Linked DNA regions of Rattus norvegicus. The protein of the gene in region 2 purifies or fractionates together with the protein of the main gene of each other region. This does not show direct contact. Links are inferred from orthologs where the notes say so. Each region holds a gene or a part of one and is shown on either strand. Other genes may lie near its edges.

Region 1 (4,051 bases), on a different chromosome or scaffold from region 2:
CCATATACATAAAACACATAAGTGAATTTCTTCATGTGTACGAGGAGCTGGTAGTGGTGCTTCCCTTTAATGCCAGCACTCCAGAGGCAGAGGCAGGTTGATCTGCGTTCCAGGCTAGCCTAGTCTACAAGGGGAGTTCCAGGACAGCTGGGGCTACACAGAGAAACCCTGTCTGCCATGGGCACCTTGCCCCATCTTTGCACCTTAACATATTTGACTGTAAAATCTGATGTTTATAAAAAATAAGAACTGACATCAGAAGTCAAGAATATTAATTTCCTTGTCTTTTTCTTTTGATAGCTGAATTATGTAAGATAAACAGGATGGGATAGCCAGAGATATAGTTTAGCGGTAGAGTGCTTGCCTAGCATACACATCTGTGGTGCTGGGTTTGATCTCAAACTCCTGGGAACAGCCAGTAATTAGAGCCTTGTACTTCTACTTATCACAACAGTTACAGTTTAAAACTTTGGGTCTTTCATTTTCCACTGTTTGTCTAACCATAGGGGCCTGAAGCTTTTGTGCTGACACTTTTGTTATCTAATCATCAGGTAACCAGGGGTCTCTACACTCCATCACCAACAACACATGTAAAACAAAACAATACACTATGGATCCCTGCATGGTGGAACATCGTTAGCGGGAGGCAAAGGCAGGTGGATCTCTTGAGTTCAACACCATGCTGGTCTACATAGCAAGTTCCAGGACAGCTAGGATAGTCTTTAAAAAAAAAAAAAAAAAAAAAGAAAAAACAAAACAAAAACCCCCATTTTATTTATGAACAAAACATGTAAAGAAAGGAAGGAAAAAAAAAAAAAACCCTCAGCTTTATCTACTTCAACCAATGTTGGAAATAGCTTTCTTTCTAAAAATAAATAAATAAATAAAAATATATAATATATACACACACATATATTTTAAAGAAAACTCAGCACATTATTCAAATAACCCTATAAACATTCTTTATAAAGGAATTATTTGTAGTTGTCTTACGGTGGCAGCTATGTTAATCAGGACAATTCAGGCATCACATCCCAAGTTTCAGCATTTCTACAGCCCTACCCTACTCAAATATCCTTTGATTCTGACAAGTGTTTCCCTCTTTCTTCTTCTAAGCCGGTTCTTTTCTCCCTTCTACTTCTGTCCCCTGCTTTCCATTGCTTTACTCACTCATACAACTAGCAAACACTATTTGGGTGCCTAACACTTGCTAGATATTAGGGATCTCACCTAAAGGGACTGAAAGCAGCTGCAGGGCTCAGTCTTTACAATCTCCCACAGGAGATACAAAGTAGCTAATATTTACCAAATAAACAATTACATCTGTGATTACCAGCTGCACTAGCAGCTACTGAACACAAAATTTAGGACCTCAGTCCTCCACCTAGCCCCCTTGCTCGGCTTTAACCTCATTTTTCAGACAAGGGAAAAAGTTTGGAATGTTGCCCAAAGCCATACCTAAGTGAACAAAAAGGAGTTGTCTCAAAATGTGTGGTTCACCAACCAACTCAGTAACACCTGAGCTGAAACAGGAACGCTGGTAGCAAAATAAATTGAAACAAGGATCAATGGCCTCTAGAGCAAGAATACATTTTGTTTTAGAAGATTAACAAGGCCTGGCAAGGAGACTGTGGGAAGAGAGTGTACTGACTGAAACTGACTAGTTCAGGCAACAAATGACTATTCCAGTGTGGATGGAAAGTTAAGTGTGGAGTTAAAATATACTTCAATTGGTGACCGACTAGGCATCCAGAGTCAGGCACAATGATACTGTGGGTAAAGGTGCCTGCTGTGTAAGCCCAGCTACCTGAGTTCAATCCACAGAATACACAGAAAAGTGGGGAGAGAAGCAACTTCCCAAAGTTGTCCTCTGGCATCCAACACATATGCACCATCCCCACCACGGCATGCATACGTACTCAAGTATACATAATACATACACACATACACATTATTTTTAAAATACAGCCTTAGGGTTTGCTCTGATATATGTTCAACTGAAAATGACTGAGGATAGAGGGCAGATCGAAGGCAGCTCTGCAGGAAGAAATTATGAGACACAGACATGCAGGTGAGGGACTGACTATAAGCTAGTCTTCAGAGGGCCTTGGGTCAACAAAAATTCAGAGAAGTTTGCAAGTGAGACAAGGAAAGAGCAGTCAACGTGAATCACAGAACTCAAGCAAGAGAGGAGTGTTAGCAGAAAGAAGCAGCAGCCAACAAGCCCAAACAATTAGGTCGGCTAAATTGTCTTCCGATTTGGCTACTGGGAGGCCACTGGTGACTTCGGCCAGCGTTTTCTCTCGTGACTAGAGAAATGCCTAGTAGCAGTGAAGAGTTACGAGGAGGTAAAGAAGTCAAACAGCCGAAAACAAACAAGTCCAGAAAAGTTTGGAGGTGACGGAGAAAGGGAGGAAAAGGAGGCCACCGATGGTAGACAGAGGCATGTTTATTTGTCTTGTTTTCTTAGGTAGAAAAAAAGTAAGCTCGTCTGCTAGGATCAGGATGCCTCCTGCGGAAGTCTTTAGAGACCCGGGGCGGCATCCCCTGCGGTCGCATAATTTCCTCCCTGATGCTCTCCCGATCAACAGCGGCTCCCTCCCCCTGTCCTCTTTGCATCACTCCAAACCCGCACTGCTAGGGCCATCGACCCCACTCCTGAATGTCTCCTTACCGCAATGGCCCCCTCGCTCAGGTGTCCCACCATGGCTGCACCGCTAACTCCCGCGCTCGCGCTCCTGCACCGCCCCAGCTTCTTTGCCGGGGTCCCGCGGGCTGCTCAACGATTGGCTAAAGGAACTGTGCGTGCAGCTCCGCCCCCAACGTGCGCGCGGTGCGAGGGGCGGGCCTAGATGCCGACAGCCACCTCATTGGCTACCGCGCGGCGGGCGGAGCACGTGACCCGCCCGAGGCCGGGTTCGAGGCCTAGTGGCGGGATGGCGGGACCTGAGGGCGGGGCAATGTTTCGCGGTACGCCTGTGTCTGCGCGTTGTCCCTGAGTTGGTCCCAAGCCAGCTGTCGGAAGTTTGCATGCCTATTCGTTTGGCGGATACACAGAATAGCAACCCAGTGGACAGTCGGATTTCTTCCCTGGTAACTGCTGCTAAATATAGTCAAAGCAGTGACCTCGATCCTTCATTCACGCAGTGCGTGCCCGGCGTCCGTGCCAGGCCCAGAGCTTGGCACTGTGGGATAAACAAGGTAAATCAGACTCAATCTCCGCCCTTAGAAGATCGTAGTTCCACCTGAGATTTGTGGCAGCGTGGAGCCCAGCCTCATGGTTGGTACACGCGATATGGGCCACACATGTGGTGGAGTTCCAGAGTGAGGGTAAAAAAAAAAAAGTCAATGAGGCTTTGAGAGGAGATGCGGATTGAACTGAGTTAAGTATGTGTGGAAATTTGTCAGGTGGATCCCAGTGAGGGTAATAATGTTCCTAAAAGCCTATGGCCTATGTAAAACTACTGGAGAGCCTGGCTTGCTGGCTCTCGTCTGTAATCCCAGCCTTTCGGAGTGGAGGCAGCAGAAGTTCAAGGTCATCCTCAACAAGACCGTTGAGTTCCAGGTCAGCCTGGACTAAATGAGACCCTGAAAAATAAAAATTTGGGGGGTTGGGGATTTAGCTCAGTGGTAGAGCGCTTGCCTAGCAACCGCAAGGCCCTGGGTTCGGTCCCCAGCTCCGAAAAAAAAAAACAAAAACAAAAATTTGGGAGCCTGTCGTGGTGGTACTCAAGAGGTAAAAGCAGGCAGATCTCTGAGTTCGAAACCAGGAAGATGATGATGATGATGATGATGATGATGATGATGATGATGATGATGAGTTCGAAACCAGGAAGAAGATGATGATGGTGATGATGATGATGATGAGTTCGAAACCAGGAAGATGATGATGATGATGATGATGATGATGACGACGACGACGACGACGACGACGACGACGACAACAGCAGCAATAATAGTGAAGAGAGACTATAAACTGAAAGAAAGACCTGGAAATGGAAACAGAAAACTGAACAATCTTAAGAAATGAAAATATGTATCTTCATAGTTG
Region 2 (3,500 bases):
ACAAGTTTGAGGTTGTTGACATTTCAGTGTGCCCTGTGAGTGAGGGGTAGACGTCACATGAGCGTGTGGGAGCCACAGAAAACATTTTGTAAAATGTATACCATAAAGCATCGAATGAGTAAGAAAGGAGTGGAGGGAGCTCAGGCTGGGTTTGAACTCACATCTTCCTCAGCCTCCTGGGCACTAGGATTACAGGTGTGTGCAGTCGCAAGTGTTGTCAGGTCCACTGGTAGTAGATATTGGGGCACCAAGGAAAGGTGGTTTCTGAAGTTGCTTGTAGAAGATTTCATTGGAATCCATGCGTCACCACTGAAGTGAAGTGATGTAGGGTCAGGATGGTTGGTGTGCTCTGCCCCCGAGTAGACTGTGCCTATCCTGAAAGTCTCTGTGTGCTATGAGGCAGGATTCGGTTACCTCTTAGGTGATATTTGCACTTAGAGGCAGACAGGGTAGTACCCTCCTTGCCCGGGATTAGCCATAACTGTCCCAGCACATGTCTGCGCCTGGCTGTCTCACCTTTGGAGCCACTTCTCATCATAATACTGGAATCCTGCATTAATCCTGCAGTGCATGTGGTGCTCACCCATTTCTTCACGGTCAGGACCACGCCATACACTCTCCAAAGACACCACTCTCCATGGAGCCACAATGTGAGACAGAAGTAGTTTGGCATTTTAAAAGCAGAAATCATGAAGCTAATCTTAATAATTTAAACCACCCTGCACAGTTAAAGCATCATTTCTTCAGATTACATAGAATTCCATCTTGTGGTGGGCCAGAAATCACAGTTGATGAAAACAGCAAGTCCTTCCCCCTCAGCTAGACATTTAGATTCTCTTCAGGTACCTGTTGTGGTGATTCGGGTGAGCACACAGACCTGAGTACCTCTCAGGTTCATTTCTGAGAGATGGAGTCACTGGGTCATAAGAAATATCTACTTAATATGGCTTCCTACAGCATATAGATCCATTTGCCCTCCAGTGGGGCCATACCCACAGGACAGAAAAGCACCTCTAAAGCTCTGTACACAGAGTAGGTCTACTGGGAATGGTGGCAGCACTGGGCAGCACAGGTGACTGCAGCTGAACCCAAGGAGAATCCAGGTCCACAGCACAGCACCTGCCTCCTCAGACCTCAGGTATGAAACTTGAGGTGAGGCAATCACAAAGCAGTCGATCTTAACCAGAGTCTTGGGAAGACAGGAGTACAATCTCACTGTCTCATAGGTGAAGAGTGCTGTGTAGAGGCAGAGCAGGGATGGCGGATGCTGAGATGTGCCATGTTTTTGTTGAGCTGGCTGGCAGAGCATGAGACCAAGCCTCAGGGTGGTTCTGTAGAGAACACGTAAGCGGGGTCCTGCAGCAGCCCCGGACAAGCAGCTGCAGGCAAAGGGAAGACTTTGTCTAACAAGCTCCTGCGATGACCTGAGCTTCATTTTCACAGCAGCCTTCCCTTCTAAAATGAGTATGGATGTGCACCGGGCAGCTTCTGCGGGGTACCAGCATACCAGAGACAGACAGGCAGGCAGACAGACATCGTCAGAACAGCTGGGATGTGAACCTGAAGCAGTCAGGAGGGCATGGGGGAATGCATGGGCCTGTGCCCTGTGGCCGCCATTGTCTGGAGAGTTTGACTTTTTTTGGTGGCAGTATTCTATCCTGTGTCCTCATTAGCTGTACCTAACCCATGTTCCTTGTCCTCTTTCTGGTTCCCCACTTCCCTGAAGGACGAAGAGGCAGTAAAGAAGCTGGCGGTGAAGCCTGGCACTAAGTCGAAGCTGCCGAAGCCGGTGCAGGAGCTCGTCGGGATGATCTTCGACGTGGAGAGCATGAAGAAGGCCTTGGTGGAGTACGAGGTGCGTATTGAGGCCATGCTCTCTGCTCGTTTTTTTGCACTGAGCCTGGCGAGTTCAACTGTGTTACTTTCCCTTTCTAAAACTCAAGTGGCCACAAATGTCCACCCAGCTCAGCGCCCGCTTGCCCCCTTAACCCTGTGGTGGGATGCGTGGTGGACTGTAGAGGACTCTCCTGGGCCCCGGGCCCCTATTGCCTGTTGCCATTTTGATTTCTGTGTTAGGTAGGTCTGGTTCTTTCTTTGCGACGCTGACAGACCAGCTAGCTGATGCCAGTGGAAGTCCCAACCTCCACTCACTTGTAGACAAAGAAAACTGGGCTGGAGAGACTGCTCAGTAGATAAGAGCCATAGCTCTGTAACGTCAGCTCCAAGAGAATCCCTCTTTTGGCTTCCACAGGCACTGGTACCCAAGTGATACAGGCATATAAGTAGCAAAGAAGTCATAGACATAAAATAATAAAAAAATTAAACTGTAAAGAAAACTCCTGTGACCACTACTGTCTTGATCCATGCTCCAGTCAATCAGCCAAACTCCAGTCAGCTCTCTTAAACCCTGGGGCTGGGTGCAGCTGTGTTAAGAGGTCTTGCTCATCTCACACACGTGGGGTGAGATGATGCCAGTTGGAACCACGTTGCTCCCAAGTGGGCCTACATGGCATGGACAACAGGCTGTCAAGAATAGGCTTTCTCACTTCACCTGTAATCTTCCTAGCAAGGAGGCGACCTGTGTACTTGGGCCAGCCACACAGCCTCCTATTCTCTGGCCACGAGTCCATAAGCTACAGGCTGCTCTGCAAATCAGGCAGCTCTGGTGGATGTGCCCAGTGCTGCAGTCTTAGGGCAGTAATGTACTGGCACACAGGTGTGTCTCCTCAAGCACTGAGAGACAGTGCAGGCCGGCTCACTTACAGGAGGGAGTAGATGTCACTTGAGAACAGTTGGTCCAGTTTACAAGTGTGGATCTGTCCGCTCTTCATCACTGTAACACAATGATCTCTGCCTTCACAGCCCAGTACCCTGATTAACAGTGGATCCTGAAGTAGTGTGGTTAGTCACAGTGGTGTTAAGTGTGCGTAGCCTTTAGGGTGGCTGATTTGAAAGGCTCATGTGTATTTTTGAAAAATAACATTCATTAGAACTTTGAGGCTCTTGTTTCTGAACTGGATGGCAGCAAAGGTCATAAGAACACACACACACACACACACACACACACACACACCCTCTGTTCCTTGCCCTAGAGTACAGTGGGAGGTTTAGTCCATCACCTCGGTCCTGTGGGATTGTAGGAGTTATGTTGGGTCTTCCTTCAGAAGTGCTGAGCTGTATGCATTGGGCTTGTGTTACACAGCATACAGGGTGGGGTAAGAGGGTGACACCTTCTGTGCAAGCAGGCCACTGCTCCTGTGAGGGAACAGTGGTGCGTCACCACAATGCAGAATGCATTTAGGTTCCCTGTCTCCTCAGATTGACCTTCAGAAGATGCCCTTGGGGAAACTGAGCAGAAGGCAGATCCAGGCCGCCTACTCTATCCTCAGTGAGGTCCAGCAGGTAAGCAAGTACCTCCGGTCCTCCAGCCGTTAGCTTCTCTTCTAGTAAGAAACAGTAGCAACATCTACTGTGTGGGAAGAGTGACAGACAGTACTAAA
Region 3 (3,500 bases), on a different chromosome or scaffold from region 2:
AAATAGTGAACGTGGCCCTTCTTGTCCACACTATGATGTCAATAAAGAAAAACTCCTCAGAACCAGAAAGCAACTTCTCTCACCTCTCTAGTCAGCCTTGCTCTTAAAAACCAACAAAACCATTCCAAATGCGCCAGGCTCCACATAGACTCAGTCTCAAGGATGCCTATCTTTGACCCAATACTCTCTCTACTCTGTACTCTCCCTGTGGGCCGTACTCAGAGGAATGTTTCTTGAATGTAAGTCAACAGCAAGGTCCATTCTCTTAGCCCCTTTATTTTTTTTTTTAAAGATTTATTTATTTATTATATATAAGTACACTGTAGCTGTCTTCAGATACACCAGAAGAGGGCATCAGATCTCTTTACAGATGGTTGTGAGCCACCATGTGGTTGCTGGGAATTGAACTCATGACCTCTGGAAGAGCAGTCGGGTGCTCTTAACCGCTGAGCCATCTCTCCAGCCCCTCTTAGCCCCTTTAGAAACACTGTCTGGTAGGTCAATGGCCTCCAGGGAGCCATGGGATACCTGTGGTTGAGGATCCGGTGGATCATCATCCACTCCGGTTTTATTCCATAGCGATAGAAGCGCTCCTCCATCTCTGCAAACTTAGGGTCCTTGTTCTTTCGCTTTCGGCTCTTCTCCTCATCTCCACCGAAGTCCCCAGAAGGCGGCTCATCCATATCATTCTTCCGCTGGTAGTTTCTGAACATCACCTGACAGTGCAGCTCCAACTGGGAGCAGAAAGAGAAAGGCGGCCACCCTGGAGCTGCATCCGGCCTCCTGCTCTTACCTCTGCACTGTCACCTCATACATGCAACTTGTCCCAGGCTTACCTGCAATTCTGACACCCAGGAGCAGTGCCAGTAAGACATGCCTTGCCATTTCACAAAGAACTGCCTCTCTGGCCGCCCCTCCAAGGGTTTGGGAGATGGAGTATTAGGATCAGCATCTGGAGGCCGAGGCACTGGTGTAGGAGATGGTGGCTGGCCCCACTTCCAAATTAGGATCTTCTGCACTTTGCCCTTAAGAGCTGGACACTGTTAAATAGAAACCACTTAATCTCAACTCAAACCACAGGGCTATGCATAAAACTCTCCAGGAACAATAAATATCAGTGTCTATGGGTAGGTGGTTAGAGCACTTGCTGCAAACACGACAGCAGGAGGTCAAATGGCCAGCATCTGAAGAGAGGGCTGGTCTCCCAAAGGAACCAGACTAGATACCTGGCATCCACTGTAGCTAAGAATTATTGTTCCAGGGGATCCAATGCGCGCGCGCGCGCATACACACACACACACACACACACACACACACACACACACACACACACACACACACACACATACACACACACACACACACACACACACACACACACACACACACACACACACACGGCCTACTGCCATGGGAAGGGAGACTAAAGGATCACTAGAGCTTGCTGCTGGCTGCCAGCCAGCTAAGCTCCAGGTGTAGTGAGAATCTGTCCAGGGTGATACGGTGGGTATCGGAGTACAACACTGCTGCTGTCTGGCCCAACACCAAGGCCTGGAGCCCTGAACACACATGTACACATACAATACTCGCGAATGAACTTTTTTTCTTTTCAGGTAAGTCTCACTCTAATAGCCCTGGCTGGCCTGGAATTCAATATATAGACCAGACTGACCTTACACTCACCAAGAACTGCTTGCCCTGCCTCTGATGGAAAAACTACAAAGTGAGTTCCAGAAAACAAAATAAATAAAATACTTCACCTCAAATAAAATCTACCCTCACAATCATCCCTAGGCAAAAACCACTAGAACTTTCTCTCCTCTTTGGATATTGTCACAGAGCTAGAAAGAGTCAAGAAGCAAGCTATACAATAAACCAGAATAGCTAGGCACACACAATTCACAGAGAGAGAGACTTGAACCCTTCCCTCTCTTGAGCAAGCTGAATGCAGTAAGCTGGCTCTGGGGCAGCCATGGCTACCGAGAGCTAAGGTGAGACACCCAGGCTCAAGTGAAGCTGGGCATGGTAACCTCAGCTTTGCTCCTCATTCTTGGGAACATGAGGTACAACAGTGAGTTCAAGGCCAGCCTGGGCTGCAAATGAGTTTGTTGCAGCATTTGTGTGTAAGAGCTAAGTTACAGGACCAACCTAGGTGTACATCAACAAAAGAATGAAGAAAACATGGTGTCTTAATACAATTTTTCAGATATAAAGAATAAAGGAGCTGCTTTCCTTTACAGGAAAGCTGATAAAAATGGAGATCATAAAGCAAAACCACATATGTACAGAGAACATAAAAGTAACACAAGACAACTAAAGAAGAGCACAGGCCGGGGTTGGGGATTTAGCTCAGTGGTAGAGCGCTTGCCTAGGAAGTGCAAGGCCCTGGGTTCGGTCCCCAGCTCCGAAAAAAAGAAAAAGGAAAAAAAAAAAAAAAAAAGAAGAGCACAGGCCTAATGGGAAGGGGACATCCTTAGTGCAGCAGGCAGGCGGATCTTCCTGCGTTCAAGGCCAGCCTGGTCTACATACATAGCGAGTTCCAGGACAGTCTGGGACTCACAGAAAGGCTCTGTCTTGTAACATCAAACACAAAAACAGAACTGTTCTTAACCACTGAGCCATCTCTCCAACCCCCAAATTACAAGTTTTTAAAGACAAGATCATGTGTGATACTCCTGCCTTTAATCACGCAGGACACCAAGACAAGAGGATCACCGTAAACTCAAGGCCAGCCTGAGCTACATACATAGAGTGAGTTTAAGGATAGCCTGGACATCAGTTCAAAACACCAAAAATCGCAGCAGCAATCAGAATGACAGAATGACTACGACTCTACTGCTTCACCTGCTTAAGAGGAGACCGTTCTTCTCTTCAGTTAACCGCATTTACGCGGCAGATGATGGCCCAAGACTAAGCACTTTCTCCTGTCTCAGCTAGAAAATCTCTATGTCTCCAAAGACCTCTCCCCAACCTAGGCCTCATAATGCCTACCAGAGAGCAGACCCTTGTGCTAGTAAATGGCACTGCTCCCCTCTCCCACCCTCAGTGAAGAGTCACTTACAGTACAGCGGGGACAGAGCCATTCGCCATTTGGGATCTCTGGCAGCGGGGGGTTCAGACAGTGGATATGGTAGGAAGAAGGGCAGGTGTCACAGCATAGTAGTTCCCCGCCATCCTTGCAGACTCGACAGAATTCCATATGGTGGTCATCTTCCTCTTCTGGGTCTCCCCCAACTTCTTCCAGAATCTCTTCACCCTCAGAATTGTCCTCCTTAGCTTCCCACTGGATACCCTCCTTCTCCTGAAATAAAAAACCAGAGATTCAGATTATTACCACCCCACCCCACCCCCAGTCAGACAGCCAAGGACACTCCCATTTTTATTCCCACCTTTGCCCTTAGGGGGACCCAGAGGCCACAGTAGCCAGGCACTCACACAGTGTGGGCAGCTCCACTTGCCCTCGGGGGCCTTCTCCATGTCTGGGTCCAGGCACACCATAT
Region 4 (4,187 bases), on a different chromosome or scaffold from region 2:
CACCTAGTGTCGTCACAGAGTGGCTAATAAAGACTTCCTTTTGGTAGATACGCCTCAGCAAAGGCTCCTGACACTCAGCTGGTACACAGTATACATGCCAGCGAAACATCTATAGAATAAAATGTAATAAAAATTTAATATGGGGGTTGGGGATTTAGCTCAGTGGTAGAGCGCTTGCCTAGCAAGCGCAAGGCCCTGGGTTCGGTCCCCAGCTCCGAAAAAAAAAAAAAAAGAAAAGAAAAGAAAAAAAAATTTAATATTTCAGTTAACAAAACCAAACCCAACAAAAAGCCAGGTGGTATGGCACCTATCTGTAAGCTGAACAATCAACTGGGAGGTGAATGCCAGCCTAGGTTACAAACTCTGCCTCCACTGGTCTCCTCTCTCACCCCCGCCTCCCGCCCCAATGGTATAAGCTGGTAATCCTAACTACTCAGAGGTTGAGGTAATGGAATTAAAAGTTCGAGGTTAGTTGGAGCACTTGAAACAAGACCGTTCCAAAGAAAAACCAGAAAGTTAGCAAAATGGCTGGGAACACAGGTCAGTTTTAACGCCCTTGACTAGTTCTGTGCAGACAGTTAGATTCGACTGTCAATCTTGCAAAACCCAGAAAGTTTCTGCTGTCCAGGCTGTGGTGAGGTACGCCTACAATGCCAGGAATTAGGAGGCCAAGGACAGCATTGGGTTCCAGGTCAGCCAGGGTTACATAGACTCCCTGTTTGCTAATTCATAAGGTTCAGTTTACTGCATATACGGAGATAATGGGAGTTGATTCCCCATGGGGGCACTTATGGACTCGAGAAAAGTTTTGAAGGGATGTCATGTCGTCTGTGTCCTGTCCCGTGCCCCACTCCCATCCCCCTTCCCAGTTTTGTTTTTTGGAACAATAGCAGATAACTTACAAAGGCCAGGGTATTTATACTTCCAGAACTGAGAACAAGGCCTTGCACATAGTTGGCACCGGCTGTCAAAATTACACGAGATGCTTAAGGTTTTGACCAGCGTACATCTATGGTGTCAATACATTCTTTGCAAATTTGGGGACATGCTTATAGTGACACGGTTTATCTGACATTCAAATGTAAGGAGCGTACTGGTTTTTATCCAGCAACCCCTACAAGATTTGCCGACTTAACTGACCGGATGATCTTCTCCCACCTGTACTATGGGGAAAAAACAATTCTACCTGCTTCCAAAGGAATAAATAAAGCCCCTGGTACCGGTGAACCCTCATTTTATACGCCCGCTCCAGCATAGCCCTGGTGGTCCTTTCACTCCGGCCCTCACCGGGTCAAATGCTCACAGCCCGGCTCTAGGTGGTCCGCACCTGCGCGCCCCGGCCAGCCTCTTCCGGGTCAGGTGACCGCGCGCGCCCACGTGACCCGGTCTGAGTGCGGGCGCTGGAAGGCGGAAGTGGAGCGGAGTTAGGCGCCGCTGGTGTGGCCGCGGCAGGTAGGTTGCGCGGGCACTGGGGGCTCGGCAGCGAGCGGGTGGCGCGGGACAGCCAGGGGCGGCGGGCGGCGCGAGGGGCCGGGGGCGGCGCGGGGCGGGCGCCGGGGGGCGGCGGCTTCCTGTGGGAGGGGCCTGGCGCGCGGTTCCGGCCTCCGAGGAGGGGTGTCCCGACTCGCGCCCGGGCGGGGTGGGCGCGGGGCCCGGCGGGAGTCGCCCGTTGCTGGCGTTTCCGGAAGGGGACCCCAGCCTGGGCGCCTGCGGTGTGGAGGAGCCGCGTCTGTGAAGGGGGGCCGACTTCGGCCGGGGAGACTCGCATGCTCCCCGGAAGGGGCTGCCTGGGAGTGGGCGTCTGGCTAGTAGAGACTGGAAGAAAAATCTGGACGTTGCGGCCTGGACCCCATTCTGAGAGTCTCTTCCTTCCGTCCTCTTTGAAGATGATGGCGACCCGAGACTTTGATACCGGTCCTGTTTAGTTTTTAAACTTCAGGAGGGATCCCTGAGTCTTGGTAGTCTGACTCTGGTCACACCCACTTTGCCCTGTTTGGGTAGGGTTTCCACTTGTTGGGAGCTTAGCCCTTCCTATCATCTTTCTTTGAGATGCTCCCAGATCGGGTCATCTTCGAGGCAAAAATAAAAAAAAAAAAATTAAAGACGTGTAGGTGCTTTGCTGTGATCATAACAAGACTTTTAACCTACACTGTTGTCAGCAGCGACATGGACCAGCGTTACCGCAGCAATGCATTGACTGCTGAAGTCTTGGACCGTTGAAAGTCTTCCCATATCGCTTTGATACGTTTCCTCTAAAGCTTAAATTATGCAGCTTCCTTTACTGTGTGACTGCTTATCTTGACCAGCTGTGACTAGGTGGGGTGACTGAGAAGTTTCTGTTGTGTTCCTTAGAACTGTGACCTAGATCTTAGTTTTTGAGGCTAAAATACCCATCTTAAGATTCTTAGTCCTCTAGGCTGAGTCCTGAAGATGGCCTCAAGTTCCAGGCCAGCCTGGGCTAACCAGTAAGACCTGAATAAACAAACATCCTCTTTCCCCTTCACATTTGCTAAGGTTTGCAGAAGTGAAATGAAGTTTATGAGTGCAACGAAGGTGTCAGGGTTCAAATGGTACAGTGACAAGAACCAGAATCAAAGGTCGCTGGGGGGAAAAACATTAATACATTAGGGGTTGAAGACTTGGGGATATATTACAAGCATTTAAAAGTTAATTTTTGTAGCAGTCTCGAGAAGTCATTCCCACTTCATAGATAACAAACTGAGAGAGTTGACTTAAAATAAAAGATGTAATTTTGGGGCTGGGAATTTAGCTCAGTGGTAGAGCGCTTACCTAGGAAGCGCAAGGCCCTGGGTTCGGTCCCCAGCTCCGAAAAAAAGAACCAAAAAAAAAAAAAAATGTAATTTTGTTTGTGTGTGTGTGTTCCTGTGTGTATGAGCTCACTGAGGCCAGATGAGAGCGTTGGGTCCCTTGGAGCTAGGGATATAGGTGGTTGTGAGCCTCTGGGTTTGCATGCTGGGAACTGAACTTTGGTCCTGTGGAAGAGCTATAGGTGCTCTTACCTGTATCTCGTTAGTCCCAACCTGACACTTCATTTTGTTTTTCTTCCTTGTTTATTGTCTTCTTCCTGCTAGGACTGTAAATCATTCAAGGGCTGTGATCCAATATTACATGACTTCTTTGGCTACTAGCTCTGTGTTAGGAGTACTTGGTCAGTGTTTGAGAAATAAATGAGGTTTTAAAGGTCACACTGCTTGCTGTATGTAGTGAACAAAGGGTTTGAACATAAGTTTTCTGTCACTTTCTCTGTTCAGTGTTATTGGTCTATGGGAAAACCATGAGGAAAAGGCTTCAATTGGCTTGTCTGTCTCTTTTACTTTTTTTTTTTTTTTTTTTTTTTTTTTTTTTGGTTTTTGTTGAACATTGTACCTTACCACTGAGCTCCATAGCCCTTCTTTTTTGTAATTTTTATTTTTTCCTTTTGAGACAGGATCTCAGTAAGTTGTCTGGTGTGATTTCAAATTCCCGTAGCTCAGGCAAGCCTTGATCTTGTGATCCTTTTGCCTTCGTCTCCACAGTAGTTGGGATTTGAGGCCTGTACCACTCAGGCCATATTAGTCTTTCACTTAATGACTATGTCTCCATCTGCAAAGAACTGATACCAGATTCTCATTTAATTTAATTTAATTTTATTTTTTTGGTTATTTATTTGAGACAAAGTTTTACTGTGTAGACCTGGCTGGCCTAGAACTCATGAAGATCCACCTGCTTCTGCCTCCCAAGTGCTGAAATTAAAACTGTACTATTAACTGTGCTCAACCAACCTCCCCTCCCCTTCCCCTCCCTCTCTCCCTCCCTTCCTTCCTTCCTTCCTTTCTCTTTTTTTTTTTCCCCTTTTCTTTTTTTCGGAGCTGGGGACCGAACCCAGGGTCTTGCACTTGCTAGGCAAGCGCTCTACCACTGAACTAAATCCCCAACCCCCCCTTTCTCTCTTTTGAGACAGGGTCAAACTGTGATTTTTTTGGCTTTTTGATAGAAGGTAAGTTATAGCTCAGGCTGGCCTCAAACTGGTTATGTTGCCGAGGAACTTAGGATAGATTCTCTTGTCTCTCCCTTTCAAGAGTTAGGGTCCAGGCCTTCACTCACCATTGCGCCTGGCCCAGTGTCTCATTCAATGCCAGCTCTATGAAGGTTGCATTGCTTCATTCGAGGATGAAGAAACTGAGGCT
Region 5 (4,214 bases), on a different chromosome or scaffold from region 2:
AAAGATAAGAAAAGAAAGAGAAAGAAAGAAAGAAGGAAAGAAGGAAGGAAAGAAAGGACACCCCTGACAGAGGTGAAGTCAGCTATCTAATTTTAAAAGCAGGACCTTAATCGAGTCGAGCAAATATTCTTTAACTCTGCATGTGACAATTAAAATTAGGGATTGGTGGCTGCAACCACCACTGGTAAAATACCTTTTCCTGACCCATCTCCCCGAGTCAGCCAAGTGAGCCCCAGCCAGCAGCAGAGTTGATTCTGTGGAAATCCCAGCAGAGCTGCAGAGGGGAAAGGTCTAGACAAAGGCCCTCACTGAGCAGCTCCTTCATGGTGGACTGTGGTGGTTCACAGAGTTACGGCGATATGTCTTTAAGATAGGAAATTGAGTCATTTAAAAAAGAAGCTGGCCGTACAGCCCTGGCCCTGCCTCAGTGGTTGCGCAGGCTTCCTGCCAGTACCTGTACATAAGGGCCTATTGTTTACTTGCGTTAATTACAGCGCAGGATGAAAGAAGGCAATAGGGCAACTTTCGCTGTTACCATTGTTTGGGAAGAGACACGAGCTCACAATAATAGACTGGAGACAGCCAATTCACCCCAACTGCACCAGTTTTGACAAGTGCCAAATCGTGGAGGACAACAATGAGGCCATTTCCAAGAGAAGACCCAACTTCAGCCTATTGTAATGATTCAGAAAAAAAATAATGCTCTCGAAGGATACTAAATTAGTTTTGAAAATTTTAAGAGGTTATCCACAGGTCCTCTCAGCAACACACTCGAGTTTCTCAAACAATACAGTAAAAATTGCAGTCCCTGGAAAACGTCCCCACTTCTGGTTCTGTAGACACTGACCCAGTGGGTCCGGGTAAGATGGGATTTCTAGGAATCACACTGATGAACAGGGCCGTGGAGCTGAATCATTTATTCTAGTTAGATGTCAGCAGTCACTCCTGGGGACTCCATGGCCTCCTGGGGTGGGGAGGAAAGGTGGCTGGGCTCCGAGATCCCTGTCCGGATTCTAGAGGCACGGCAGGAAGAGGAGCGGGACACTCCCGCGAACAGTGAAGTGTAGTGGGGTCCAGTGGTGGTTTAGGGGTGTGGCGGCCGAAGCCCCGGTGACTACAGTCTCGAACCTGCGCCAACAGTGGCCGCGCTCCACCCGGCCCGCAGCGACGGACCGCACTCGATCCCATTAGTTTCCACTGGAGCGGGGTCGGGACGCCACGCCCCGGCCCGGCCCCTCCCGGCGGCGCACGCGCAGAGCGACTCGGGCCGGCGGGGACTACTTTCCGCGGCCCGCCCGCGCCCCGCCCCTCGTCCTCGCGCGGCGGAACGCTCCGCGCGGAGCGGCGGCGGCAGGATACACGGTGCCGCGCCGCTTATAAATCGCTCCTTGTGCGGCGCCATCTTAAGCCCTCGCTCGGTGGCGGCCGCGTCAGCTAGTGTTCTGTGCAGCCCGCGGCCCGGGGAGGCGGAGACGGAGCACGGTGGGAGCCGAGCCGTCAGTGCAGGAGGCCGAGGCCGAGCGGGCGGCCGCGAGGGAGTAGCGCGCGGCCCCAAGGTACGGCGCGGCGGCGGGCCGACTCGCGCCGCGCCAGCGGGAAACTTCGCGGGCCGGGTGGCGGCGGGAGGCCGCGGGGACGCGCGGGCTGGGGCCGGGGCCGGGCGGGCGCGCGCCGGGAGCCCGGATGGACGGGTGGCCGCCGTGGGGGGTGGGGACCGCGGTTCGTGTCCCGGCTGGGGCCGCGGCGGGGGCGGGGTGGGCGGGGGCCCCTCCTCCGTGGCCCGCAGAGCCGGGGGACGCGGGACCTGGCACGCGTCCCCTCTGTCCCTCGTGGAGCACGCACAGATAGGTCTTTTTTTCCCCCCCTGCAACGATCTGACTGTGAGTTTGAATCCAAACAACTTTAAACCGTGGAGTCGCCAAACTTGGATGCGGCGTGCGGGATGCGTCGGGAGCGTGTTCTCGGAGGGTGGTGGCGTCCTGGACTCGCGTGGGGTCGGTGGCTGTGGGGCCGAGAGGTGCTGGCGGGAATTCGGGACCGTGGACGAGTCACCGGCCACTCCTGGGGGGAGGGTGTGCGCGGGACCCGAAGCCTGAGTTTGGGGGAGGGGGACTTGCCCTTAGCCAGTAAGTGTGGGGTCCGCCTCAAGTGTTTCTCCCCGGCGCGTTTGCTTTCTGGGCGAGATGGAGTGGCCAGAGCGCTGACCGCCAGGGCGTGGGAGCCTGGAGACTTGTTCTGAGTGTTGTTTGGGGGACCGGACTTGGAACCGACGCTCCAAGTTCGGTGCCCCAGGCCCGCTCCCGTGAGCCCGCTGGCTGCGGGGCAGCTTTGTCTCGGGCTCGGGTCTCCAGACATCTGTGGGCTCCCCTCCCCCGCGCCCCCCGCACCCCCCCCGCCCCCGGGCCTGAGCTCTGAATGGAGAGCGACTGGGCTGCTGGTATGCGGAGGTCGGCGAGAGGAAATCGAGGAGTGGTTTTAGTGAAACGAGAGCTTTGTGCCATGAATAATGGTGGCTTAGACCAGACAGCAAGCTGAAGAGACGGCAGCGTTGCCTTTGATAAAGTCTGCCTCATGTTTTTCACATGGCCAAGTTGTGAAGCATTTTGTCTGGGATTTAGGAAGCCATTTCTCTATTTACTTGAGGCTTGCAGACGTCTCGGTGCAGACTCCTCGTCCCGGGAAAGAGCTTGCCCTCTTGGTTCTGATTTAATGCTGCTTAAACTTGTAGCCTTTGCATTTCGATTTTGTATGTCGGGCTCAAACTTTACTTGAGTTAAGGTCTTCTGTTACATTTAGTTCATTTTCACCTTAAACATTCAGAAATCCCCCAATTAAAAAGAAGTACCTCAAGGTTTGTTTGAGGACGTCCTTTCTCAGCAGAAAACATTGATGACAGTGCTGGGGATAGTCATTCTGTGACCTAACCTTTGTCCTGAAGGCCGAGTCTGGACAAGGCCTTTAGCGGTGGCAGGGAAGTTGGAAACTTGTAGATCTTTCTCTACAACTAACCCTCCCAGGCTGAAGTCCTTGAGGAAGCAGGCTATCTGGGAAGCTTAGCTTGCCTGGGACAGAGTCCTGGGCCTCACGGTCTGCAAGAAGACCAACCTCAAGTCCAAGAAATAGAGTTCACCTGTCATCTGGTCATTTCTAGTAGATAGTCTAGAGCAGCGGTTCTCAGCCTTCCTGATGCTGCGACCCATTAACAGCTTCTCAATTGTTACAGTAACCCCAACCCCAAAATTACGTGCTTGCTGCTCCATAACTTGCTACTGTTAAGAACCATAATGCAAATGTCTATGTTTTCTGTGGTCTTAGGTGACCCCTGTGAAAGGGTTGTTGGACCCCCAGATTGAGAACATTAGTTTAGAGACTGAATATTGGGTATCAGATGTCTACAACTCGAGGGGAAGTGTCTCCTGCTGTAGTGACGATGGGACTAGATTGGGAATGAAGCTTTAGCACTAGTTTCAGAATGCCATTGGCGGGGTGGGGTGGGGATGAGAAGACAACTTTCTTAGTATTTTGAAATGTGTGCTCAGAAAAACTGGTGGAGCCCTTTTGCAAATAAATGCAGAGCAGAGCATGGCCAAGAGGCCTGTGCACACTGCAGGTGGGGGTGCAGTGGTGGGCCTACCATAGTCTGCTGCCATACTTTTAAGCAGGAAGTGGACAGTGAAAGTAGATGGAGTCAGATGAAATGCTAGTGCTGAGGTGAGGTCAAGGTCTCTGCCCATCACCTAGTGGTAAATTTTTAGTGTCCTTGGTCACTGGCTTGGTCAGAAACATACCTGCGGGATAAACTCCTGGTAAACAAGTATTCACAAACTCGTTACAAACGTACATACGTTTTAACTCCACTTTTTGTTTGTTTTGTGGCTCCTGTCAACTTGTTTGCTATTTAAAACAATCTCACTGAAGACATCTTTATGCATAGAGAGAAAATAGCTGAGCAGCTGCCTCAGTTCTGAGGCCTGTGGAGGCAGCCTCTGTCCTGAGACATGGTCAGCCATGAGATGCTTCTGTTCAGTAACACCATTCACGGTGTGATTCCTAGATCAGCTAACAGGTTTTACAAAATGGAAAGTGATTTATGTCAATTGGAAGTGGATCAGAACTTCTTTACGCTCCGGAAAAAGGTCTTCATTTCTTGTTACCTAAGAAAGCTGCCTATGTATGTATTCATTGCAAGACCGGGCTTCCCTTGGCTGGGAACC
Region 6 (3,946 bases), on a different chromosome or scaffold from region 2:
ACAGACTGAATAAATTCCTACTAAAATCTTACCAGTCTTTTTGCATAAAAAGAAAAGCTAGTCCTTAAATTCACATCAAATTAGCTCAAAGAATCTTTAAAAATAAGAGCAAAGTTCAACGTTGCCACATCCCAACACTACAGAACAATACTAAGATACTGTGGTATGGAATTATAAGATAAATACATCAATAAAATACAATTATGAATCACGAAAACAGATGGCTCAGCAGTTAAGAGCACTTACTGTTTCTTGCAGCGGTCCCTGGTTTGGGGGCGGGGAGCAGTCTCAGCACCCACACAACAGCTCACATCAACCTATACTGTCAGTTATATGAAATCTAATGCCCTCTTTTGGCCTCCATAGGCTGTTATATGTATGTGATATACATAAACTTATATAAGCACATTCACATAAAATACGTAAATAAATCTTTTCAACAAATGCATAAACATATTACATAGCCAAATGATCTTTGGGAAAGTGTATCAAGCCCATTCAATAGAAAAAGAGTATGTCTCAACACTGAGACAACCCGATTTAGACATGCAACCAAGTCAAGCCACACTTCACACAATATATAAAAATTAATCAAAGCAGATCAATGACCTAATTATCATAATCCAATCCTTAAAATGTTAGAAGCCAATAGAACGCAAATTCTTTAAGCATTGGAACACGTAACACCATTGGGACACATAACACCAATAGTATAGAGAACAAAGGAATATATAAATTTGACCTTATCAAAATGTAAAGAAAAAATTGACAACTTATAGAAATGGAGATTTTTGAAAATAAAGACTTAATTTTCAGACTACTTAATTCCTACACCTCAATGGAAAAAACAAAAATAAATAAGAAACAGGCTTGATAACTCATTCTTTATAAGAAAATGATCAATGAACACATGAAAAGGTATTCAGTCTTAGTCATTAGGAAAATGTAACTCAGACCTACAGCAAAGTAAAAATACATGTGGCTAAGGATGCAGTAAAGTTAGACCTTTAGTGAGTGCTAGTATAAGTGTAATATGATGTCACTCATGTGGATCTATAATTACTATACACCCCAGCAATTCTACTGCTAGATCTATATAAAACAAAAGAATACTAGGACTCAGACTTTCATACGCCAAAGTCAATAACAGAATTACAGTCAAAAGATGAACACGCATGTCTCTTTGCAGATGAATGGATAGAGAAAACACAGTATTGCAGTATTCAGAACAAAAGAATGAAGTTTGTCCACTATAAATGTAACACGGAAACATGTTGCTAAAGTCAAATGAACCAGACATAAAGGGAAAAATACTGTATTTAGTCCTGAATGAATGGAGAACTTCAGAGATCAACTTAAGGGTCATCAGAGACCAAAATGAAGAGCGAACAGGGAGCTCCTGCCTCAAAAGTACATAGTTTCTGTCCGGAATATGAAATATTTCCAGAAATACATAGTAAGGATGGCTTCCAACACTGTCAATAAAATTAGCTCTACTGAGTGTACACTTAAAAATAATTAAAGAGTATCTCTTGTTTCTTACAATTTTACTACAAAACATGTTTTGAGTAAAATAATCAAGTTCTGTATGAACCCAGTCAAAGCAGCAACAAAATGTCAGTAGCCCATTCTTAATACTGAGTCAGCATCACTGCCTTCCTACACAGGTGCCATTAGCACATTAACTCATGGGTGCTGTTATTTATTTTACTACCTTTATGGCAACTTTTACTCAAGCTACCTCCTGTCCAGAAAATCAAAAACACCACCCGCCCTTTAGCTGTTGTCATATAGTATTCCTTCCTGTGGGTTGCCTACTTCAAGAGGCACATCATTCCACGTAGAACCTGCGTAACATCCTGCACATGATCACTAAAGAATTGGCCAACCACATAGTAAGTAAATCTAAGAGAGGAGAGACATGGATCCTGTTTCATTCAGTTCCTTAAGTCTCTCAGGGCTGGCAATTATCTTTTTAACCTAAGATTCTGATAGTTAAAAGTAAATGTAGCACTTATGACCTCTGAATAGAAGCCTGCTTTCCCCACCAATGTGTAAGAGAACAATGAATCTGTTTCAAGGCCAAAGAATTTTCTATGTAACTGGCTAAACAGCATTTCTACTAAATGTGTTTCAGTTTATTCTGGCTTTAGATAACATGGCTGCCACTATTCTATTCTTCCTACCAGCTTTTATACTCTGCCTTTGTGGTGTGTAAAAGTTTAGTGATACCACACAGGAATATCAATGCATATCCCTCCCACAGCCTACTCAAAACAGACACTGCTCATTTTCTCACAATGCCATCTGCAGATCAGAGAGAGCCATTCTATCGTACCAATTTGGCTTTCTTTGAGACTCTACCACTGGCTGTGCTTAACTTCACCATTTCACTACATATCATCCTCTTCATGCTATCTGCTGACAGCCCCACAAACCAACTTAACTGTCCTTGAGAACGAACAGCCCAGCTTCTCAGATGTCCTTAAATCATGCTCCAATATCCATTTATTAGAAACAAGTACATAGCTTCTTAAAAGTATGCATTTTGGGGCCCTCCCACTGCAGATTCTAGGCTGAAATGAGTCTAAAAAACATAAAACTGCCCTTTATTTTCAACTTCTGAACTCCCAAATTCAAATCACTTTACTTCCTCTCAGCAATAAAGTGCCACTTGGCACTGTCATCTAAAACAAGTCACAATCGCATTCTCAGACCACAAGCGCTGGCCCTTCTCATCAGTTCGCATTCCCACACCTGTTCTTTAGTTATGGAGACCTCTGGCCACTTCCTCATCTTCTTTCCTTTATACAGTTCCTGATGTCATTTCCTTTCCTGACCAATCTAGAATCATCTGAAAGTTCTTCCCTAACAAAACCCCTGTTTTCATCTCTGTGTGGTTATATGAACCCCTACCTCTGCTGAATTTTGCAATGTGCCACTTCAGTTTCCATGCCTTAGCCACTTACTGGTCAGAGACATAGAGATACTATTACTACCTTCTCTAGCCCTCCATATTGTCACACTAAATCCTGTCATTTTGTATACTGAACAGTCTGGGAATTTCCTATGTACTATTATGTAACCAGCCTTAAATACACTGAAAGAAATGGATCATGGTCCTCCTAAACTCGAAGCCAAATTTTAGTTTTCCAGTCTATTCAATAAAGGCAAACTCCTTAGGAAAACAAAGGCTTTAGGTCTCTGAACTCTAAATAAAGAAGTCCCTCTTATTTATCCTTGGCAACCAGCCTTCCACATTAATACCAAAGTTACACCAAAGTACTCAATGCTCCAAAGAGCTCCTGATAAGTCTGTGTATCCTCCTACCTTTAAAAGTCTTCCTCTTTCACAGCTTATAAAATGCCCGATGATGTTTACTGCACTACACAGAAATAGTCACCCAAACTACTTCTCTTGTATTTTATGTATTTTTCTATTATAGAACTTAACATGAATATTGGCATTAATTTATGCCCTGACTTTTTTCACAGAACCATGAGAACACGACAGATGTTATATCTTCAAATGGTTAGTAAACTGCCAATTAATTTGTGTTGATTTCAACTGATTTGTTTAAATATTACAATACTTAAGTCACATAAAATACCTGAGTTTCCTCAAGAAGAAGGTACTTTTCTGGAAATTGCCAAATACATAAAGTTAGAGAATTCTTTAAAGAACCTATGATATAACTAAGCATTCCAGCCTCAGTTATAGAATCTGTCATCTATCTTTTAGCAAGCACAAAATTCACCTGGCTAATGACTACTTAAGGAGTGTCCAGAATGCAGATACAATTCCAAGAATAGATAACTAGATGGTAAGATTCTTGCCTGTAAAATTTGGTCACGTATTTCTTATAAAAAACTTTAGCAAATCATTGCTTAGAAGTAGGAAAGGTGCCCTTTTCCTCCCATTGAAATACAGAGAAAAACAAATACCA
Region 7 (4,259 bases), on a different chromosome or scaffold from region 2:
CTATTTGAGTACTTAGGGATGTAAAGTCACAGTACATAAAAAGTCCCCAGGTAAGAAGGCCCAAAGTTGAACTTGGGAAAGCTGGTAACAAGGCCATGGTGCTCTGTAGTCAGAGTCCAGCCCAGTTTTAGGTCCTGATTAGTGATTTACAAGCTAGAACACCAAATTCAAAATAAAGAAAGGCTTTGGTGTTTAGTCAGAATACCCAAATAAAACTGAAAATTCATGGTCTCCAGAGGGCTAATTAAGAACTACGTTTAAATTATTTTCATGTTTCAGAGCTGCCCACCTTGGTTTCAGAATGCTGCAGTTGAAAGGTATGACCCCAGGCATTTTTGTTTTCCCTTAAGGGAAGTCCTTAGCCGCCAGAGAGACTCACAGAAACACTTTCACAGAAAGCTGTTAGCTCCAACGGGATAAAGTTCTTCAGCGTCCTCTGTTAGTCACTCTTGGAAGATTGACATCTGAGGCTGTTGTCCCTTTAAACCCATTGCCACGCCTGGCAGAGAATGGCGGGGAGTATACCCAAAAAGGACTTGTTGAATGTAATTCCATTTACAGGCTGGGTGAAGTCAAGAGCTCTTCCGTCTGCCAAAGGCTTTGGTGTGGCACATTTTATTCTTAGAAAGCTTCCTCACGAGAAAAGTCTATCCTTAATGTGTACCTGAAAACCACTCTTGAAGTTCAAAAAACGATATATGTGCCCTCTTAGACGTGGTGGTGCTGGTGCAGTCCTTGACAGGTGAGAACCGACAGGGACCCTTCTGCACTGTTGGGAGGAAAGCTCAGTAGCCCGGGAAGGGAGCCCTGACCTGCTCGCGTTCCTTCCCAGGAACGTTCCCTGGGCAATGTTTAAGTTCCCTAAGTGGTGACACTGAAGACTGCCTGCAGCGTTTGGGGGGCGGGCAGATGAAGGACAAGGAGTCTGGCGGACGCTCTGCGCAGCAGCAACCTGGGACCTGAGGTGGGGTAGGGGATCCGGCTGCTCCTAACGGCAAACGGTCCCATCTGCAGTTCACTCCCCGGCCCAGTCTCTGGGGACGCCTAAGGCTTCCTGCCTCCCTGCCCCCACCCTCCCCCTCCTCTCCAGCCTCCCCGACTTCCCGGCAGGTCTGCAAGACCACTGCCCGGAGGTTTCCACAGCCCTCGTCCCAGGACTCCCGGCTCCTTTGGATGCCCGGGAATGACCCATGACAGCCGCCCGCTCTCCCTTTGGACGGAAACCCCATTCACTCTGCCTCTCTCTTACACACACACACACTCTCACACACAAACAAAAAACCCAAGTCTGCCTCTCGGTTGCTACCCGCAATGACGTTTTCCCCTCGGATCCCGCCCCTCTGGGGGCCTGAAATTTTGGGATTGGTCGAAGGACTGTAGCGACAAGACCGTGATTGGACGGTCCATGGCTGACTGACAGCCGGTGGCCGCCGCACCCTCCCCCTCTCCGAGCGCGCCTGTGTGTGCGGTGTTATGCCGGACTAAAGGGAGGCCACCACAGCGGCTGTTTATTGTCCCTCTCGGCCAGTGCTCCTAAGGACCCGGTCAGACACCGCTTGAGCGGCTTTAAGGCAGTGGCGGCCTTTGAGGCGGCGGCGACCGCGTCGAGGACTCTGCGGATTCGGTTGCGTGAGGAGAAGCAGTGACTCCTTCGTGTCAGGGCTCTGACTCGCGTCTCCTAGCCGGCCCGCGCCGGCCCGCGCCGACCCTCGCCCCTCATTCGCGATCCCGATCGCCTGCGTGAGCCCCGGAAGACCGCGTCTCACTGCTAGCCCTTCCTCGCCCTCGGCCGCGCTCTAGGCCCGGGCGCCGCGCTCGAGTTTGAGGGCGGCGGGCGGCGCGGCCTCCTCAGCGGCTCGGGCCCGCGATGGGGCGCGGCTAGGAGTGCGGCGCGCAGCGGTCAGTGCGAGCCGCGTCCCCGGTGCGCGAGCAGCCCCTGGCCTGCACGGGAGGCGCTGCCATGGCCAAGTCCAGCCTCGCGGGCGTTGACGGGGCGCTGACCTGGGTGGTGAGTGCTGCGCGGGCGGACGCATTGTTCGTGGGCCGCGGGCTGTGCGGGCGGGGGCTGAGAGCGCGGCGCGGCGGGCGCCCTGTCGGGCTGCAGGCAGGGCCTATCCCTGAGTGCCTTTTTCTCTCTGCTTTCCGCCTCTACGAGGTTCAGGCTGCGGAAGAATGCTCACCTGAAACTTCAGGGTGTACACCAGGACGTAGGGGACCGCGATAACGCGAGCCTCCACGAGCGCAGCGCCAGAAAATATTGCAGAACTTATGCCAAATGCAACCGCTTCCGGCGGCCTGTCCCAAAGGAACGTGAACTTGAATGGCCACTGCGGTTTGCGCCTCCCCTTTAAAGGCTCATTCCGCAGAGAGGGTATTTGGGATGACTTTGACAGCAGGTTAGAGACCGCAGCTGGTCCATCTGCCCGCGGGATTAAAGGGAAGAGCTTACTTACGTCAGCCTCCCGGGTACATCGCGTGGGGACTCAGGGGTTTCCCCAGGAGGTGAGGGAGGGGGTGCTTAAGCCGGAACTTGGAGGATCGCAGAGCCTAGTTCCCAGTGGGAAGTGGAAGTAGCGAGGCAGCAGGAGCAATTGGAGCAGGGTTCCCACGACAGATCGATAACTCCAGCACTTCACTTACTCCGCACTGAGTTCAGACCAGGGTCATTTCCCATGCAAAACATCAGACTTAGCAGATGAGACCAGCAGCTAGGACAGAAAATTTACACATTTCAGGGACTTTAACACACCCCTTCCAGAGGATCCCAAATCCCTCGCCTCTGAACACGCTAAGGAAGTTGGTATTGCTTGGCATTTTTGTTCCTTGGTTTCTTTGTTCGGTTGAGGTTTAGATGAGTCTGGATTAACAGTCATTTCTTATAAAAAGGATGTTTTTATAAACAGCAGGAAAACTGTTTAACCATTTGCAGGGCCGTGGCAAGATACTTTGCAGTGTAACTTGCCAGGTTCTTATCTTCGAATCTCCAGAAATAAGTAGTTCTTTCTAGGCAGTGCAGTAGGAGAGCGTGGAGAAGAAAAGTTAGATAGTAAGTTAGTGCGCGTGTGTCCTTGGAAAGAATGATTGAAATGGCTGACCCTTACCTGGTACTAAAACTAAACGTCTGAAGATGGACTGCGATCATATGCCAGTGTCACTGGTGATTGTGGAAGCACTGACATCCGAGCTGCTGCCTTCTGGTGTGTAGGGTACATGCAGACAAAGCACTCATACACATAAATAAGTCTTAAAAAGAAAGCAGTTGCTATCGTGGAACCAAGTCACAGACAAGCTGCTCAGATGTCAGTGCCACCATATTTGTGCTGGGAGTTGAACTCAGGACCTTTAGAAGAGCAGTGAATGCTCTTAACCACTGAGCTATCTCTCTAGTTCCCCTCTCAGCCCTTTTGTTTTTACATTATTATTTTATGCGTATGGGTGTTTTGCCTGCTCGTATGTCTGTGCACCACTTGAGCGCCTGGTGCCTAGACCAGGCCAGAAGAGGGCATCTATACCTTGGAACTGCAGCCACCCAGATCCTCTGGAAGTGAAGCTAGTGCAGCTGGGCCACCTCTCAAATTCTGTCACCATGGCAAACATTTTGTGAGACAGTTGGATTGTTTTTTTTTTTTTTTTTTTTTTTCTTTTTTTCGGAGCGGGGGACCGAACCCAGGGCCTTGCGCTTGCTAGGCAAGCGCTCTACCACTGAGCTAAATCCCCAACCCGGATTGTTTGTTTTTAAGTCATGGTAGCAATGCTTTAATTTAATGGGCACCTTTCCTTTTAAGGTCAATGGAAAACTTTAATTTACATACAAAATGGGGCAAAACTTGTAGAGTTTCATTCCAAATTAGAAAAAAAAATCTATGTGAAACTACAATAGGCACATTAATTTTGCTATGAACTAGATTATGGGAATTACAGTAAAATAAAATATATCTTGTTTGAATTAGGTTATTGAGAAGAAATCCTCTTTCAGGTTTGCTGCTTGCTTTCTGTTCCTAATGCCAGCATCTTCCTGTCTGTAATAAACCTTACAGGTTGCTTGTGCATGTGTTTTTGAGAGAGGAGAGAGTGTATATGTACATTCATCTACCTGGGCTTTGAACTCATGATCCTCCTTCCTTAGCTTTGTGAATGCTGAGATTGGGAGCCAGCACACGGGGCCTGGTTGGTCTTCTTTACTGGAAGATGATAGCATGAGTTGATGTGGGCTTTGGCATAGGTTCATATACCCCCTGCAGTACATAATGCAGGCGAGA

What was found.
Region 1: the proteins of Parp1 (region 2) and Rpa1 purify together in Homo sapiens (affinity purification with mass spectrometry; 3 studies listed by BioGRID, with this or other methods). This does not show direct contact. The link is inferred for Rattus norvegicus from reciprocal best matches to the Homo sapiens genes PARP1 and RPA1.
Region 3: the proteins of Parp1 (region 2) and Chd4 purify together in Homo sapiens (affinity purification with mass spectrometry; 4 studies listed by BioGRID and IntAct, with this or other methods). This does not show direct contact. The link is inferred for Rattus norvegicus from reciprocal best matches to the Homo sapiens genes PARP1 and CHD4.
Region 4: the proteins of Parp1 (region 2) and Wwp2 purify together in Homo sapiens (affinity purification with western blotting; 3 studies listed by BioGRID, with this or other methods). This does not show direct contact. The link is inferred for Rattus norvegicus from reciprocal best matches to the Homo sapiens genes PARP1 and WWP2.
Region 5: the proteins of Parp1 (region 2) and Ctnnb1 purify together in Homo sapiens (affinity purification with mass spectrometry; 4 studies listed by BioGRID, with this or other methods). This does not show direct contact. The link is inferred for Rattus norvegicus from reciprocal best matches to the Homo sapiens genes PARP1 and CTNNB1.
Region 6: the proteins of Parp1 (region 2) and Rnf146 purify together in Homo sapiens (affinity purification with mass spectrometry; 4 studies listed by BioGRID and IntAct, counting the BioPlex papers as one, with this or other methods). This does not show direct contact. The link is inferred for Rattus norvegicus from reciprocal best matches to the Homo sapiens genes PARP1 and RNF146.
Region 7: the proteins of Parp1 (region 2) and Top2b purify together in Homo sapiens (affinity purification with western blotting; 3 studies listed by BioGRID and IntAct, with this or other methods). This does not show direct contact. The link is inferred for Rattus norvegicus from reciprocal best matches to the Homo sapiens genes PARP1 and TOP2B.

The regions. Positions count from the first base shown.
Region 1 is NC_086028.1:60,695,480-60,699,530, forward strand, and holds the start of Rpa1 (replication protein A 70 kDa DNA-binding subunit), read right to left. Parts: upstream 2,801-4,051; 5' UTR 2,708-2,800; coding exon 2,675-2,707; intron 1-2,674. UniProt on the Homo sapiens protein: As part of the heterotrimeric replication protein A complex (RPA/RP-A), binds and stabilizes single-stranded DNA intermediates that form during DNA replication or upon DNA stress.
Region 2 is NC_086031.1:94,859,984-94,863,483, forward strand, and holds part of Parp1 (poly [ADP-ribose] polymerase 1), read left to right. Parts: intron 1-1,726; coding exon 1,727-1,855; intron 1,856-3,318; coding exon 3,319-3,402; intron 3,403-3,500. UniProt on the Homo sapiens protein: Poly-ADP-ribosyltransferase that mediates poly-ADP-ribosylation of proteins and plays a key role in DNA repair.
Region 3 is NC_086022.1:159,591,318-159,594,817, reverse strand, and holds part of Chd4 (chromodomain-helicase-DNA-binding protein 4), read right to left. Parts: coding exon 3,436-3,500; intron 3,302-3,435; coding exon 3,062-3,301; intron 2,444-3,061; exon of another isoform or gene 1,041-2,443; coding exon 837-1,040; exon of another isoform or gene 735-836; coding exon 529-734; exon of another isoform or gene 31-528; coding exon 1-30. UniProt on the Homo sapiens protein: ATP-dependent chromatin-remodeling factor that binds and distorts nucleosomal DNA. Acts as a component of the histone deacetylase NuRD complex which participates in the remodeling of chromatin.
Region 4 is NC_086037.1:52,255,176-52,259,362, forward strand, and holds the start of Wwp2 (NEDD4-like E3 ubiquitin-protein ligase WWP2), read left to right. Parts: upstream 1-1,387; 5' UTR 1,388-1,452; intron 1,453-4,187. UniProt on the Homo sapiens protein: E3 ubiquitin-protein ligase which accepts ubiquitin from an E2 ubiquitin-conjugating enzyme in the form of a thioester and then directly transfers the ubiquitin to targeted substrates.
Region 5 is NC_086026.1:129,516,162-129,520,375, forward strand, and holds the start of Ctnnb1 (catenin beta-1), read left to right. Parts: upstream 1-1,414; 5' UTR 1,415-1,556; intron 1,557-1,751; exon of another isoform or gene 1,752-1,880; intron 1,881-4,214. UniProt on the Homo sapiens protein: Key downstream component of the canonical Wnt signaling pathway.
Region 6 is NC_086019.1:30,292,628-30,296,573, reverse strand, and holds the start of Rnf146 (E3 ubiquitin-protein ligase RNF146), read right to left. Parts: upstream 2,801-3,946; 5' UTR 2,758-2,800; intron 1-2,757. UniProt on the Homo sapiens protein: E3 ubiquitin-protein ligase that specifically binds poly-ADP-ribosylated (PARsylated) proteins and mediates their ubiquitination and subsequent degradation. May regulate many important biological processes, such as cell survival and DNA damage response.
Region 7 is NC_086033.1:11,539,665-11,543,923, reverse strand, and holds the start of Top2b (DNA topoisomerase 2-beta), read left to right. Parts: upstream 1-1,459; 5' UTR 1,460-1,960; coding exon 1,961-2,008; intron 2,009-4,259. UniProt on the Homo sapiens protein: Key decatenating enzyme that alters DNA topology by binding to two double-stranded DNA molecules, generating a double-stranded break in one of the strands, passing the intact strand through the broken strand, and religating the broken strand.